Macaca mulatta: one gene and its partners. The protein of the gene in region 2 purifies or fractionates together with the protein of the main gene of each other region. This does not show direct contact. Links are inferred from orthologs where the notes say so. Each region holds a gene or a part of one and is shown on either strand. Other genes may lie near its edges.

The links.
Region 1: the proteins of GAPDH (region 2) and SIAH1 purify together in Homo sapiens (affinity purification with western blotting; 4 studies listed by BioGRID). This does not show direct contact. The link is inferred for Macaca mulatta from reciprocal best matches to the Homo sapiens genes GAPDH and SIAH1.
Region 3: the proteins of GAPDH (region 2) and PGK1 fractionate together in Homo sapiens (co-fractionation; 4 studies listed by BioGRID and IntAct, with this or other methods). This does not show direct contact. The link is inferred for Macaca mulatta from reciprocal best matches to the Homo sapiens genes GAPDH and PGK1.

The regions. Positions count from the first base shown.
Region 1 is NC_133425.1:43,776,374-43,780,588, forward strand, and holds the start of SIAH1 (E3 ubiquitin-protein ligase SIAH1), read right to left. Parts: upstream 2,801-4,215; 5' UTR 2,616-2,800; coding exon 2,525-2,615; intron 1-2,524. UniProt on the Homo sapiens protein: E3 ubiquitin-protein ligase that mediates ubiquitination and subsequent proteasomal degradation of target proteins.
Region 2 is NC_133416.1:7,484,318-7,488,600, forward strand, and holds the start of GAPDH (glyceraldehyde-3-phosphate dehydrogenase), read left to right. Parts: upstream 1-1,483; 5' UTR 1,484-1,526; exon of another isoform or gene 1,527-1,618; intron 1,619-1,795; 5' UTR 1,796-1,812; coding exon 1,813-1,841; intron 1,842-3,516; coding exon 3,517-3,616; exon of another isoform or gene 3,617-3,639; intron 3,640-3,697; coding exon 3,698-3,804; intron 3,805-3,926; coding exon 3,927-4,017; intron 4,018-4,107; coding exon 4,108-4,223; intron 4,224-4,283. UniProt on the Homo sapiens protein: Has both glyceraldehyde-3-phosphate dehydrogenase and nitrosylase activities, thereby playing a role in glycolysis and nuclear functions, respectively.
Region 3 is NC_133426.1:84,348,999-84,352,960, forward strand, and holds the start of PGK1 (phosphoglycerate kinase 1), read left to right. Parts: upstream 1-1,162; 5' UTR 1,163-1,278; coding exon 1,279-1,343; exon of another isoform or gene 1,344-1,498; intron 1,499-3,962. UniProt on the Homo sapiens protein: Catalyzes one of the two ATP producing reactions in the glycolytic pathway via the reversible conversion of 1,3-diphosphoglycerate to 3-phosphoglycerate.

The DNA.
Region 1 (4,215 bases), on a different chromosome or scaffold from region 2:
TATAGGGAGTTACAGGTGAAGTCCTGGATAAAATCGGCACTCTGTATTCACACGGTCTGCATCCAAGGACTTCACCACAGCCATGGATTGAAAATATTCAGAAAAATTTACAAATAATACAAAATTTTTAAAATACAGTCTATAACAACTATTTACGTATTATTTACATTGTATTAAGTAATCCAGAGATAATTTAAATTATACAGGAGAATATGCACATACATATACGACACCATTTTCTATCAGGGACTTGAGCATCCTCAGGTTTTGGTATGGGGAAGGGGGTCCTAGAACTAATCTTCCGAGGATACCGCGGGACAAGTGTAGTTCCAATGCCAAAGAATCAGAGAACCTTCCATTAACTCTTCTTAATGGTAAGCCATTATCTACTCTAGAGGTGTACTTTGGGAATGAGGGGAGGGGTCACAAGGGGAAAGGTCTGCTGCCATCCCATTATCCATCTTTACCTAATTAAGTCTTCCCCCCAAATTATCATCAGCCAGGTATTAATCTTATTTCTTACTGATTAGTGCTCACCTCAAGAGTGAGGGGATGTACTCGCTAGTGAAGGTAGCAAAAATATAAAAATAAACACACAACAAAGGTGAAGGGAGACATAGGAGAAATGGAGGGCCATCTCAAAACTTTTTAGTCTGGTAGAGAAAGTACATCTTTCTGTTCCACTTTCAATCCACAATATGTATCAGACATAATGAACAAAGGAGGAGAGTCAGGAAGAGACAGTGAAAAAGGAAAGAATAAAGATGATAGCACGGCAGAGATAATATACCATACTGGGGGTGGGGGATGAAGTCAACAGGTGAAGAACCCCTTGCAGCCTAGGGTTCTCCAGCGTTGCTGAAACATTCATCAGCAGAGTAATCAACGTTATTTAACAAGTAAATGTCATCTGGAAGAAATAATCGACAATGTAACTAGTCAAGCTGAGTCAAACATAAAACAAGCAACTTTTCCCAGGAAGCTACCTGGGCTGGGATATTGCAGGCCACTATTTGTCTTGGGGGTGGAAAAAAAGATCAGTCGATGTCCTAAGAGTGCACTCCTAGTAACTCTACTAAGCCATATTCTTTTTTTTTTTTTTTTTTTTTTGAGATGGAGTTTTGCTCTTGTTGCCCAGGCCGGAGTACAATGGTGCCTGCTCACTGCAACCTCTGCCTCCCAGGTTCAAGCAATTCTCCTGCCTCAGCCTCAAAAGCAGCTGGGATTACAAGTGCCTACCACCATGCCCGACTAATTTTTGTATTTTTAGTAGAGACGGGGTTTCACCATGGCTGGTCTCAAACTCCTGACCTCGTGATTCCCCGGCCTCGGCGTCCCAAAGTGCTGGGATTACAGGCATTGGCCACTGCGCCCGGCCACTAAGCCATATTACAAAATTAAAGCTTCAAAATTAATGTTTTAATTCAATTATAGTCATTATTCTGTTGCAGGGAACTTTTAAGAAACAATGTTGGTTACCAATGTGACCAAGTAAATGCAACTTGGTTTCTAGATTACCCAAGTGGTTACCAACTGATAGCTTAAATGAGGGCTTAGGGTGAAGGAAAAATAAAGATTAATTCCACATCACTAAAAGGATATTTTAAAGTTCAAGAGGCAACAAAAGTGACAGAATTCCATCATAATGTGTCTCATCATACGGACTCAGAACATGAATCAACTCTCATCTGAAGCCCAGTGTGACCCAGGTGTTCTGTCCCCTGACAAAGGACTATAAAGGAGCTCTCCTGTAATCCAGTTTCCCTCTGAGTAGATTCTTTGTACATATGACATCCATTTTATGTCACTTGTAAAACAGTGGGCTCAGTATTGCCAAAACACCCTGGCTGTATGCTGTATGCCTACTGCATGGTCCAGTTTACTTCAGTAAGCAGCATAACAATTACAAAGTGGTTCCTTGGGCACAAAACAGTCTAGTCAACCAATGCCTTTCAGATTACTAAACCAAACCAAGGAATCACATCCAAGGGCAGTAAACTCAGTTTATATTTAACACAACATAGCTAGAGACCGAGAAAAACACTGTTGTTCACAATTTCTTGACCTAGCAATAGTTATACATTTATCATCAACAGTTCAGGCTCACAATACATCTTTACCATTTTCCAAACACTATAGAAAGCACATTTTAACTCCTATTCAAAGTGTGAAAAAGAACTGAAATGTGAACGGTATTTCTTGTGAATGGAGGTATTACAGGACAGCAACTGCTAAAGCCTCTCAAAGCTCCAAGGGTGGAACCCAGCTCCATCTTGAAACAGAAAAGGAATCCCAACCACACAGCCGCCCTGCAGTAGGAACTAAGGACAGCCCTGCAGAAGTCATGACGTAACCTGAAGTTTGATTTAAACATAAAAAAGCACAGCAACCCAAATGAAACATGACTGAGAACCTCGGAAACGGCTGGATTCTGCTGCAGCCATTCCCTAAGCCAGACAGGTTCCACTGACTAATAGCGTTCAAGCTTCATAGCCTCAGCAACCTATCCTCTTAATGTCAATACCTTTTCTCTTCCTTGTCCTGGCCGCTGGTAAACATGTGAACAAGACTCCCCTCCAGGAGTACAGAGAAGGTGGAGTAGCCTTTCCCGTCATGAGAAGTCAGGCCGCGCATTGCGTTTCCCCCAAGAAGTAAAGGAACAGGCCCCTCCTGGGCACTTTCTGCTCCTAAGCACAGAAGACCCAAATTCGCGTCTGAGGTCAGGATCCAAATATCCATTTACTTCTCAGAAGCACGAGTTACAGAGGTGGAGAAAGGAAGCCTTCCCATCCCCAGGAGGCAACCACACCTCCCTGTGAGCTCAAATTCGGCTGCATCTCCAAAAATGGGAGCCACAGCTGCGCTGTCCTCCAGTGTGCCCTAAGCTTTCGTCTGTCTCCCAAGTTTGTCTTCTCCAGATTCACTCCGTAGGCTACTGCCCAGCTCCCCAGCTCCGGTGGAGGCCGGGGATGCAGGGGGCGACGCGCTCACTGCGAAGGAAGTGCGCTCCCTGAGCCAGCTCAGGGGCTACTGCAGAAGCCTGCCTGCTGGAGAGCCATTTGGAGCCTCGGCCGGGGCTGGGCCTGCGTTGGGAACGCCCACTCCAACCCGGGGCGCCAGGGCCAGCTCAGGGCGCGCAGCGCGCAGGGCGGTGCCCGTCTTGCTCGCGCAGGGGTGGGGCTGTGCCCGCAAGCCCCGCCCCGCAGCCCAGGGCGGGGCCCCGCCACCCCGCTGTTGACCCCATCCCACCCCAGCGACATCGAGCCTTCCTCAGCATTTCCACCAGTTTAAAATTAGGTAGAACCATGCTGTTTTCGGTAGGTCACAACAGTCGAATATCGGCAGTTTCTCACGGTTCGATCTAAGAGCTACAGCGTATCTGGCGTATCTGGGAAATGCGTGCCCACACCGGCGCTACATTCCCGGTTCATCGTGCAAACTTAATTTTTAGAGTGAAAACATTCTCCTTAATTCATTCAACAGCTATTTACCGGGCATCAACTACCATATTTACTCAATTCTAGCTCACTTCATTTCTACTCCTATGGGCACTATATTTTAAACTCTCCTTCCCCGCTGTGAAAAGACTTCGCAGGAAAAGTTGTAAGCACACTTCTGCCACATTAAACTCCTACTTAAACCTCCTAAGAGATTATACTCTTCCCACTCTGGGAAAGCCATCTTAAATGGCCTCATTAAACACAGAGTAGCTTGTTTTGTTTTTAAACAAGCATTACCCTTGCCCCAATAAAGTCCTGGGCCTCAGATTTGCATTGCATCAGCTAGTGCGTGCAGAGGTTTAACCTGTCATTACATCATGCTTAGGGCAGCCTCCAAATGCAGCAAGAGCTGGCAGTGAGGAGTGAACCCAATGCAAGGAACTGCAGATTACCCACTTTCAGCAAGAAATTTTAACTCTACCCACTTCCTCACTCTATTAACAGTGTGTCCAATCACCTCAACCTCATTTTACAATACAGGCTACACAAAACAACATTAGGAAAAGAAATATAATTGAAAATAGACACAGTCGTGCCAGAACTATTTTTTTTTTCTTTTTTCTTGAGACGGGGTCTCACTGTTGCCCAGGTCTGAGTGCAGTGGCACAATCTACACTCACTGCAGCCTGGGTCTTCTGGGCTCCAGCAATCCTCCCACCTCAATCTCCCCAGTAGCTAAGACCACAGGCTGACACCACCACTCTCGCTAATTTTC
Region 2 (4,283 bases):
TGCTCTGGGTGGTCATTGTGAAAAGCCCGCACCAACCATGCCAATGGCAGCCAGACGAGGACACAGCCTGGTTCTGGGTCCCAGGAGGAAAGGCAATCCCAGAAAGACAGGGACAAGGACTGGAGTCCTGTGGGTGCCTTTTAAGCAAAGATTATCACCAGGCGGGCTAAACTTAGCAAACGGCTTTTAGCTAGAAGGGCAGGGGGCTGGTGTCAGGTTATGCTGGGCCAGCAAAGAGGCCCAGGATCCCCCTCCCATGCACCTGCTGATGGGCCAAGGCCACCCCACCCCACCCCCTTCCTTACAAGTGTTCAGCACGCTCCCATCCCACACTCACAAACCTGGCCCTCTGCCCTCCTACCAGAGAAATGGATACCCTGTGGGAAGGGGCAGGGGGCCTGTTCCCACCATGTGCCCAAGACCTCTTTTCCCACTTTTTCCCTCTTCTTGACTCACCCTGCCCTCAATATCCCCCAGCGAAGCCAGTGAAGGGGAGTCCCTGGCTCCTGGCTCGCCTGCACGTCCCAGGGCGGGGAGGCACTTCCGCCCTCACGTCCCGCTCTTCGCCCCGGGCTGGATGGAGTGAAAAGCACACTGTCTCTCACCCTAGGCAGCACAGCCCACGGGGCTCCAGGAGTGACTTTGTGGGAGGCCTCTGGGCCCCCACCAGCCATCCTGTCCTCCGCCTGGGGCCCCAGCCCGGGGAGAGCCGCTGGTGCACACAGGGCCTGGATTGTCTGCCCTAATCATCAGGTCCAAGCTACAGGGCTGCAGGACATCGTGACCTTCCGTGTAGAAACCTCCCCCTCAAGCCGCCTCCCGAGCCTCCTTCCTCTCCAGGCCCCCACTGCCCAGTGCCCAGGCCAGGCCTCGGTCCCAGAGAGGCCAGGAGCCAGGAGATGGGGAGGGGGAAGTGGGGGCTGGGAAGGGCCCACGGGCCCCTCCTAGCCCTTTGCTTCAGCTATTCCGGTGTCACTACCGCAGAGCCTCGAGGAGAAGTTCCCCAACTTTCCCGCCTCTCAGCCTTTGAAAGAAAGGGGAGGGGGCAGGCCGCGTGCAGCCGCGAGCCGTGCAGGGCTCGGGCTCCAATTCCCCATCTCAGTCGCTCCCAAAGTCCTGTTTCATCCGTGCGTGTAAGGGCCCCCGTCCTTGACTCCCTAGTCTCCTGCTGCCCACACTCCAGTCCTGGGAAGCAGCACCGATCACCTCCCATCGGGCCAGTCTCAGTCCCTTCCCCCCTCCGTCGGGGCCCACACGCTTGATGCGTGCCCAGTTGAACTAGGCGGCTGCGGAAAAAAAAAAAGAGCAGGGAGAAAGCAGGGCCCCGCTACTCGCGGTTTTACGGGCGCACGTAGCTCAGGCCTCAAGTCCTTGGACTGGGACTGGCTGAGCCCGGCGGGAGGCGGGGTCAGAGTCACCGCCTGCCGCCGCGCCCCCGGGTTTCTATAAATTGAGCCCGCAGCCTCCCCCTGCGCTCTCTGCTCCTCCTGTTCGAGAGTCAGCCGCATTTTCTCTTGCATCGCCAGGTGAAGACGGGCGGAGAGGAGCCCGGAGGCTAGGGACGGGCCTGAAGGCGGCAGGAGCGGGCGTGGGCCGGACGTGTTCGCGCCGCTGCGGGGTGGGCGCGGGCCAGGGTCCGGGTCCGGGCCCGGGCTGCCTCCGCATTGCAGGGGCGGGCGGAGGACGTGATGCGGCGCGGGCTGGGCATGGAGGCTGGTGGGGGGAGGGGAGGGGAGGGGAGGCGTGGGTGTCGACCGGGACCACTAGGCGCTCACTGTTCTCTCTCTCCGCGCAGCGCATCCCTGAGACACCATGGGGAAGGTGAAGGTCGGAGTCAACGGGTGAGTTCGTGGGTGGCTGGGGGGCCCTGGGCCGCCCGCAAACTGCGTCTACGAGCCTTGCGGGCTCCGGGTCTTTGCTGTCGTATGGGGTAGGGTAGCTGCGTCCGGCAAGGAGAGCTCAAGGTCAGCGCTCGGACCTGGCGGAGCCCCGCACCCAGGCTGTGGCGCCCTGTGCAGCTCCGCCCTTGCGGCGCCATCTGCCCGGGGCCTGCCTTCCCTAGTCCCCAGGAACAGGAGGTCCCTACTCCCGCCCGAGATTCCATCCGACCCGGACCCCTAGCTGGGGACGCTTTCTTTCCTTTCGCGCTCTGCGAGGTCACGTGTCGCAGAGGAGCCCCTCCCCCATGGCCTCCGGCACCGCAGGCCCCGGGATGCTAGTGCGCAGCGGGTGCATCCCAGTCCGGAGGCTGCGCCTGCGGTAGAGCGGCCGCCATGTTGCAACCGGGAAGGAAATGAATGGGCCGCCGTTAGGAAACCCTGCCGGTGACTAACCCTGCGCTCCTGCCTCGGTGGGTGGAGTCGCGTGTGGCGGGGAAGTCAGGTGGAGCGAGGCTTCCCGGCCCCTGCTCTCAAGTCGGCCCCTGAGCTGCAAGCCCTATTTCCCCTCCGGGTGATGCTTTTTCTAGATAATTCTCTGGTAAATCAAAGAAGTGGGTTTATGGAGGTCCTCCTGTGTCCCCTCCCTCCAGAGGTGTGGTGGCTGTGGCTTGGTGCCAAGCCGGGGGGAGCTGAGTCATCGGTAGTTGGAAAAGGACATTTCCACCGCAAAATGGCCCCTCTGGCGGTGGCCCCTTTCTGCAGCGGCGGCTCACCTTATGGCCCCCCTCTTCCCCTGCCAGCCTAGCGTTGACCCCACCCCAAAGGCCAGGCTGTAAATGTCACCCGGAGGATTGGGTGTCTGGGAGCCTCGGGAAACCTGCCCTTCTCCCCATTCCGTCTTCCAGAAACCAGATCTCCCACCGCACCCTGGTCTGAGGATAAATATAGCTGCTGACCTTTCTGTAACTGGGGGCCTGGGCTTGGGCCGTCTCCCATCCCTTCTCCCACACACATGCACACACCTGTGCTCCCACTCCTGAATTCTGGAAAAGAGCTAGGAAAGGACTAGAAGCTTGCAAATTAAAGCCCTGGGACTAGGGGGTTAAAAAACAACTTCCCCTCTTCCCCCGGCCCAATCTCTGTCCCTTTTGTAGGCGGGTCTTAGAGAAGGGGTGGGCTTGCCCTGTCCAATTAATTTCTGACCTTTATTCCTGCCCTTTGAGTTTGGTGATGCTGAGTGTACAAATCTTTTCTCCTTAAACGGTGCAGTTTGAGGCTGAGCTAGGCAGCAGCAAGCATTCCTGGGGTGGCATAGTGAGGTGCTGAATGCCACGTGCAAAGCTTGTGCCCAGACTGTGGGTGGCAGTGCCCCACATGGCCGCTTCTCCTGGAAGGGCTTCCTATGACGGGGGGTGTTAGGCAGCAGTGGAGCCTTCAGTTGCAGCCATGCCGTAAAGCCAGGCCAGCCTGGCAGGGGAGCTCAAGGGAGATACAATTCACCTCTTAATGGAGGTAAGGAGATGTTGGGGGTAAGGAGATGCTGCATTCGCCCTCTTAATGGAGAGGTGTCCTAGGGCAGCTCACATACTGTGGAGAAGCCTCCCCTCCTCATGCCTTCTTGCCTCTTGTCTCTTAGATTTGGTCGTATTGGGCGCCTGGTCACCAGGGCTGCTTTTAACTCTGGTAAAGTGGATATTGTTGCCATCAATGACCCCTTCATTGACCTCAACTACATGGTGAGTGCTGCCCCAAAGCTGATGTGGGAGGAGCCACCTGGCTGCCAGGCAGCCCCTTCACACCCTTGCGTATTCCCCCAGGTTTACATGTTCCAGTATGATTCCACCCATGGCAAGTTCCATGGCACCGTGAAGGCTGAGAACGGGAAGCTCGTCATCAATGGAAGCCCCATCACCATCTTCCAGGAGTGAGTGGAAGGCAGTGGGAGAAATGTGCTGTGGGGGGCAGCTAGGGTGGTGCGGCTCCCTTGGGTACATGGTAACCTCGTGTCCCTCAATATGTCCTATCCCTGTCTCCCCCACCCCATAGGCGAGATCCCTCCAAAATCAAGTGGGGCGATGCTGGCGCTGAGTACGTCGTGGAGTCCACTGGCGTCTTCACCACCACGGAGAAGGCTGGGGTGAGTGCAGGAGGGCCCGCGGTAGGGGAAGCTGGCTCAGCCCTGCAGAGGCAGAACCCGGGTTTATAACTGTCTACTTCTCTGCTGTAGGCTCATTTGCAGGGGGGAGCCAAAAGGGTCATCATCTCTGCCCCCTCTGCTGACGCCCCCATGTTCGTCATGGGTGTGAACCATGAGAAGTATGACAACAGCCTCAAGATCGTCAGGTGAGGAAGGCAGGGCCAGTGGAGAAGCGGCCAGCCTGGCACCCTGTGGACACGCTCCCC
Region 3 (3,962 bases), on a different chromosome or scaffold from region 2:
AGACTGATTTGAGTGATAATAAAACTCTGGTCTCCCGCACAACCGCTCTGCGTGAATTACTCTTTCGCCATTGCAATTTCCCTGTCTTGATAAATCAGCTCTGTCTAGGCAGCGGACAAAGTGAACCCATTGGGCGGTTACACTTTCGTTTTCAATACATCTCTGCTTTTATTGCTTAATTCTTTCCTTGCTTTGTGCATTTTGTCCAGTTCTTAGTTCAAGGCTCCAAGAATTTGGACACCCCCACAGGTAACAAGACTACAGGTGCCCGCCACCACGTCTAGCTAACTTTTTGTATTTTTAGTAGAGATGGGGTTTTGCTATGTTGCTCAGGCTGATCTCGATCCACCTGGCTCGAGCAATCCGCCAGCCTTGGCCTCCCAAAGTGCCGGGATTAAAGGCCTGGGCCAAGGCGGCTGGCCCACTAAACTTCTTTGTGCATCAGCTACTTCATTTGCCTAATGAGGATGAAAGTAGTCACTTCTGCGTTTTGTGAGCTTTGGTTAATACACGAAAAATGCCATATCTGTTTGCCATTAGCATCCATCATGCCATAACCAAAAAAATTACATTGCATTTTTATTTTTAAAAAGGTGGGGGCCAGAGTGGACCTGGGCCTTTTCCAACTTATGAGAGGTCTCTTATTAAGCAAGCCTTAAGTAGCAGAATTCCATGAAGGGAGCTGGGAAACCAAGATTTTCTAAAAGGAGGTGGCATTTGCATTAATCCTGGCAGGGCAGCTGCGAATTCCACGGGATTGGGGGTGGCGCCTTTTCCAAGGCAGTCCTGGGCTTACGCTGGGCTGCGGCTGCTCCGGGCGCGTTTCCGGGAAACGCAGCGGCGCCGACCTTGGGTCTCGCACATTCTTCACGTCCGTTCGTAGCGTCACCCGGATCTTCGCCGCCTCACTTGTGGGCCCCTTGGCGACGCTTCCCGCTCCGCCCCTAAGTCGGGAAGGTTCCTTGCGGTTCGCGGCGTGCCGGACGTGACAAACGGAAGCCGCACGTCTCACTAGTACCTTCGCAGACGGACAGCGCCAGGGAGCAATGGCAGCGCGCCGACCGCGATGGGCCGTGGCCAATAGCGGCTGCTCTGCACGGCGCGCCGGGAGCAGCTGCCGGGAAGGGGCGGTGCGGGAGGCGGGGTGTGGGGCGGCAGTGCAGCCCCTGTTCCTGCCCGCGTGGTGTTCGGCATTCTTCTCGTCTCTCGAGCGCACGTCTGCGGTAGGCTCCCTGGTTGTCCGAATCACCGACCTCTCTTCCCAGCTGTATTTCCAAAATGTCGCTTTCTAATAAGCTGACGCTGGACAAGCTGGATGTTAAAGGGAAGCGGGTCGTTATGAGGTAATTCTGCACGTTTGCCCGCGTGGCCTCTGTGCTCTGTCGCAAACCTCTTTGGCCTGAGCCGACTTGTTCTCTCGTCTGCTCTACGTCGCTTTTTGCTTTTGGCTGGGCCCCACGGGTCCTAGGCTTGGAGGGCGAGGCTGCTCACGGGTTTGGTGGTTTCTAGCCGCATTTTCTGCAGCCCAGAAAGCAGCCGAAACCCCCTTCGGGGATGGGTCCCACTAAGGAAGGGCTGAGATTGCTGCTGGGACCCATTTTGTCCTTTTTCCTATTGGTGAAATGCAGTTCCGTTGCCTCCACCTCCCAATCGGCGAGATGAGACTTAATGCTTATCCTGCAAATCTCTAGGCTTCAAGGAAGGACCTTGAAAGGTCATTTTGTTAATTTCCCTTCCCCCACACTCCTAGACCGTCGCAGACAAATGAGAAACGGCCCACATCTCACAGGTCCCTGCACAAAAAGATATCTTTCCAAGAGGATGTTGATTTAACTGTTCAGGAGTAGACCCCCCAGTCCCCCGCCCCTAAAGAATTGGGGTGGGAGGGTAGGGCGGGGCGCACCGGAGGAGGCCCTGCAGAGCTTATGTAATAGGCTTCTGCTGCCCTGCAGCGTGGTATCGTTGGACTCTTGGGCACAGGATTTGCATCAGGATTGTGACATACTAGGTAATGGTAGAGCAGGGTGTGGCTGCTCATACTTGCTGGCCTCCAACCTCATCCCCACGTGTGGCTAGAAAAGCAGAATTTTGAAAGTGGGGGAAGGTTCCTTGTGCACTTTGGGTGTCTTACTCTGCTCATGTTGATCTCTGGTCACTTGCCAACACGGCTTCTCTCTTATCTGCCAGAATTGTTGGTATAGTGTGGAGCTTTTACCTTTATCCTTTTTGTCACGTGTGGTATATTTGTGCATGCCAGGAGCAAGGTGCAGGAGGATGAGTCGGTATGTAACTGATGGACTTGACTGTTCATATACCTTAACAGGATCCAAGAGTGGTGTTTTTGAGGGGTCATAAAGGTTTCTGTTGATAGCATTTTGCAACCTTGACCTTTTTGGGAAGTGGTTGATTGATGGGTAGGCATGTGGCTGGTGTAATCTAGCCCCTTTTCCAATTTGGGCTGGTTCAAATGAGGGCTTGTGTTGGATATTAACAGACACATAAGTCAATAGGAGATCTCCCTTTAACTTTAAACATGCGAGGACACGTTTGAGTTAGGGAAGTGTATGGGTACTCTAAGAGTACATGTAGCTCTCCCCTTCTCTCTAATTTCACTTTGGTCAGTATTACTTTGCAGGTAACCTCTGCCCTGCTGTGGAGATAGAATAACCCAATAATTTATGTCCATGAAAAATACCTGATTTCCACATTTCCCCAAATGGCATAGGCCTTTGCAATCTGGACAAAGTAGGAATCACAGCCATGTTAGTACTAGAAGAGTGCCCTTTCTGGCCCTCATATAATCCTAATAAAAGGGGATAGACCCTGTAAAAAACAGGACAGGTGGACATTGGCATGCAACTAGCTTTTAGGTTTTAATTAGTTCCTTGCATCTCCCCTGTGTTCGAGGCTGATTCTTCCAGATGCATGGACCAACTAAAAGACAAGGAGTGGGACATCATGCGGATAACCTTCCTATAATTGCAGTCTTGGGCTTTATTTCCTCTCTCTGTAGGGAAACTGGCTTGAAGAAGCTAGCTGGGGGTGGGATTGTAGGAGCTGCTTAACTTTTCTCCTTCTGGACCTAATAAAGTTTCATTTAGCACACACCAACCCAAAGCCTTGAAATGATTGGCTAGTCATGTTTTGCCGATGGAAAATGACCTGTTCAGGGTTACTGAACTACTAAGGTGGTGGTGGCAGAGCTGGGAGTAGAATTTGGGTCTCCTTGGCTATCAGCTAGATCCTCTAGATCAGCTAGATATTCGAGACAATATCAGCTAGATATTCGAGACAATGACCAAGGATACGTTGAAATAGACCTTTCTCCTGTAATCTGGATACCTTCTTATTTAGGCTGAGGACAGGAAGTTACATCGTTCCCTGATTATTAATGTATTTCTTTTGAACAGAGAGTTTCATTGTAGGCCTACTTTTTTGGAGGTGCCTAGGCAGCCACGTGGTGTCAGCTCAATTCTTTTTTGTTTCAACGTGGTGGTTGCTGGCAGTGTTTCCGGAGTGGGGCTTCCTGAGTTGAGTAGTGGCTGCCTCATTTGTCGTCTTTGTCCTGCAGAAGTGAACTCTGGTATTTGCTGACTCTTCTGGTCCACTGGTTTGGATTGCCAAGGGAAATTGATTTGTTGAAGGAAAACAGGGTAGCCAGAAACCTCTGACTTGTTAATTACCAGGTTCCATCTTAGTTTTTTAGGACTCCCCAGTTGACTTTACACCCTCTTTGAATACACTTCTGCTTATTTTTGTGGTAATTTCCTTTCTTTCTCTCATAGGTTGCCAGTCATCCTTTGCTTGCACTTCCTTTTTGCTTGCTCCTGCCTGTTTTTTTTTAAACCTCACTGGTTTTCTCCAGCCTGTTGTAACTTGTAAAGAAACTGCTTTGATGTAGTAGGAAGAGAAACAGGAAAAAATTGAGAGCAGAGAAAAAGTCTTTAAGACACCCACAATAT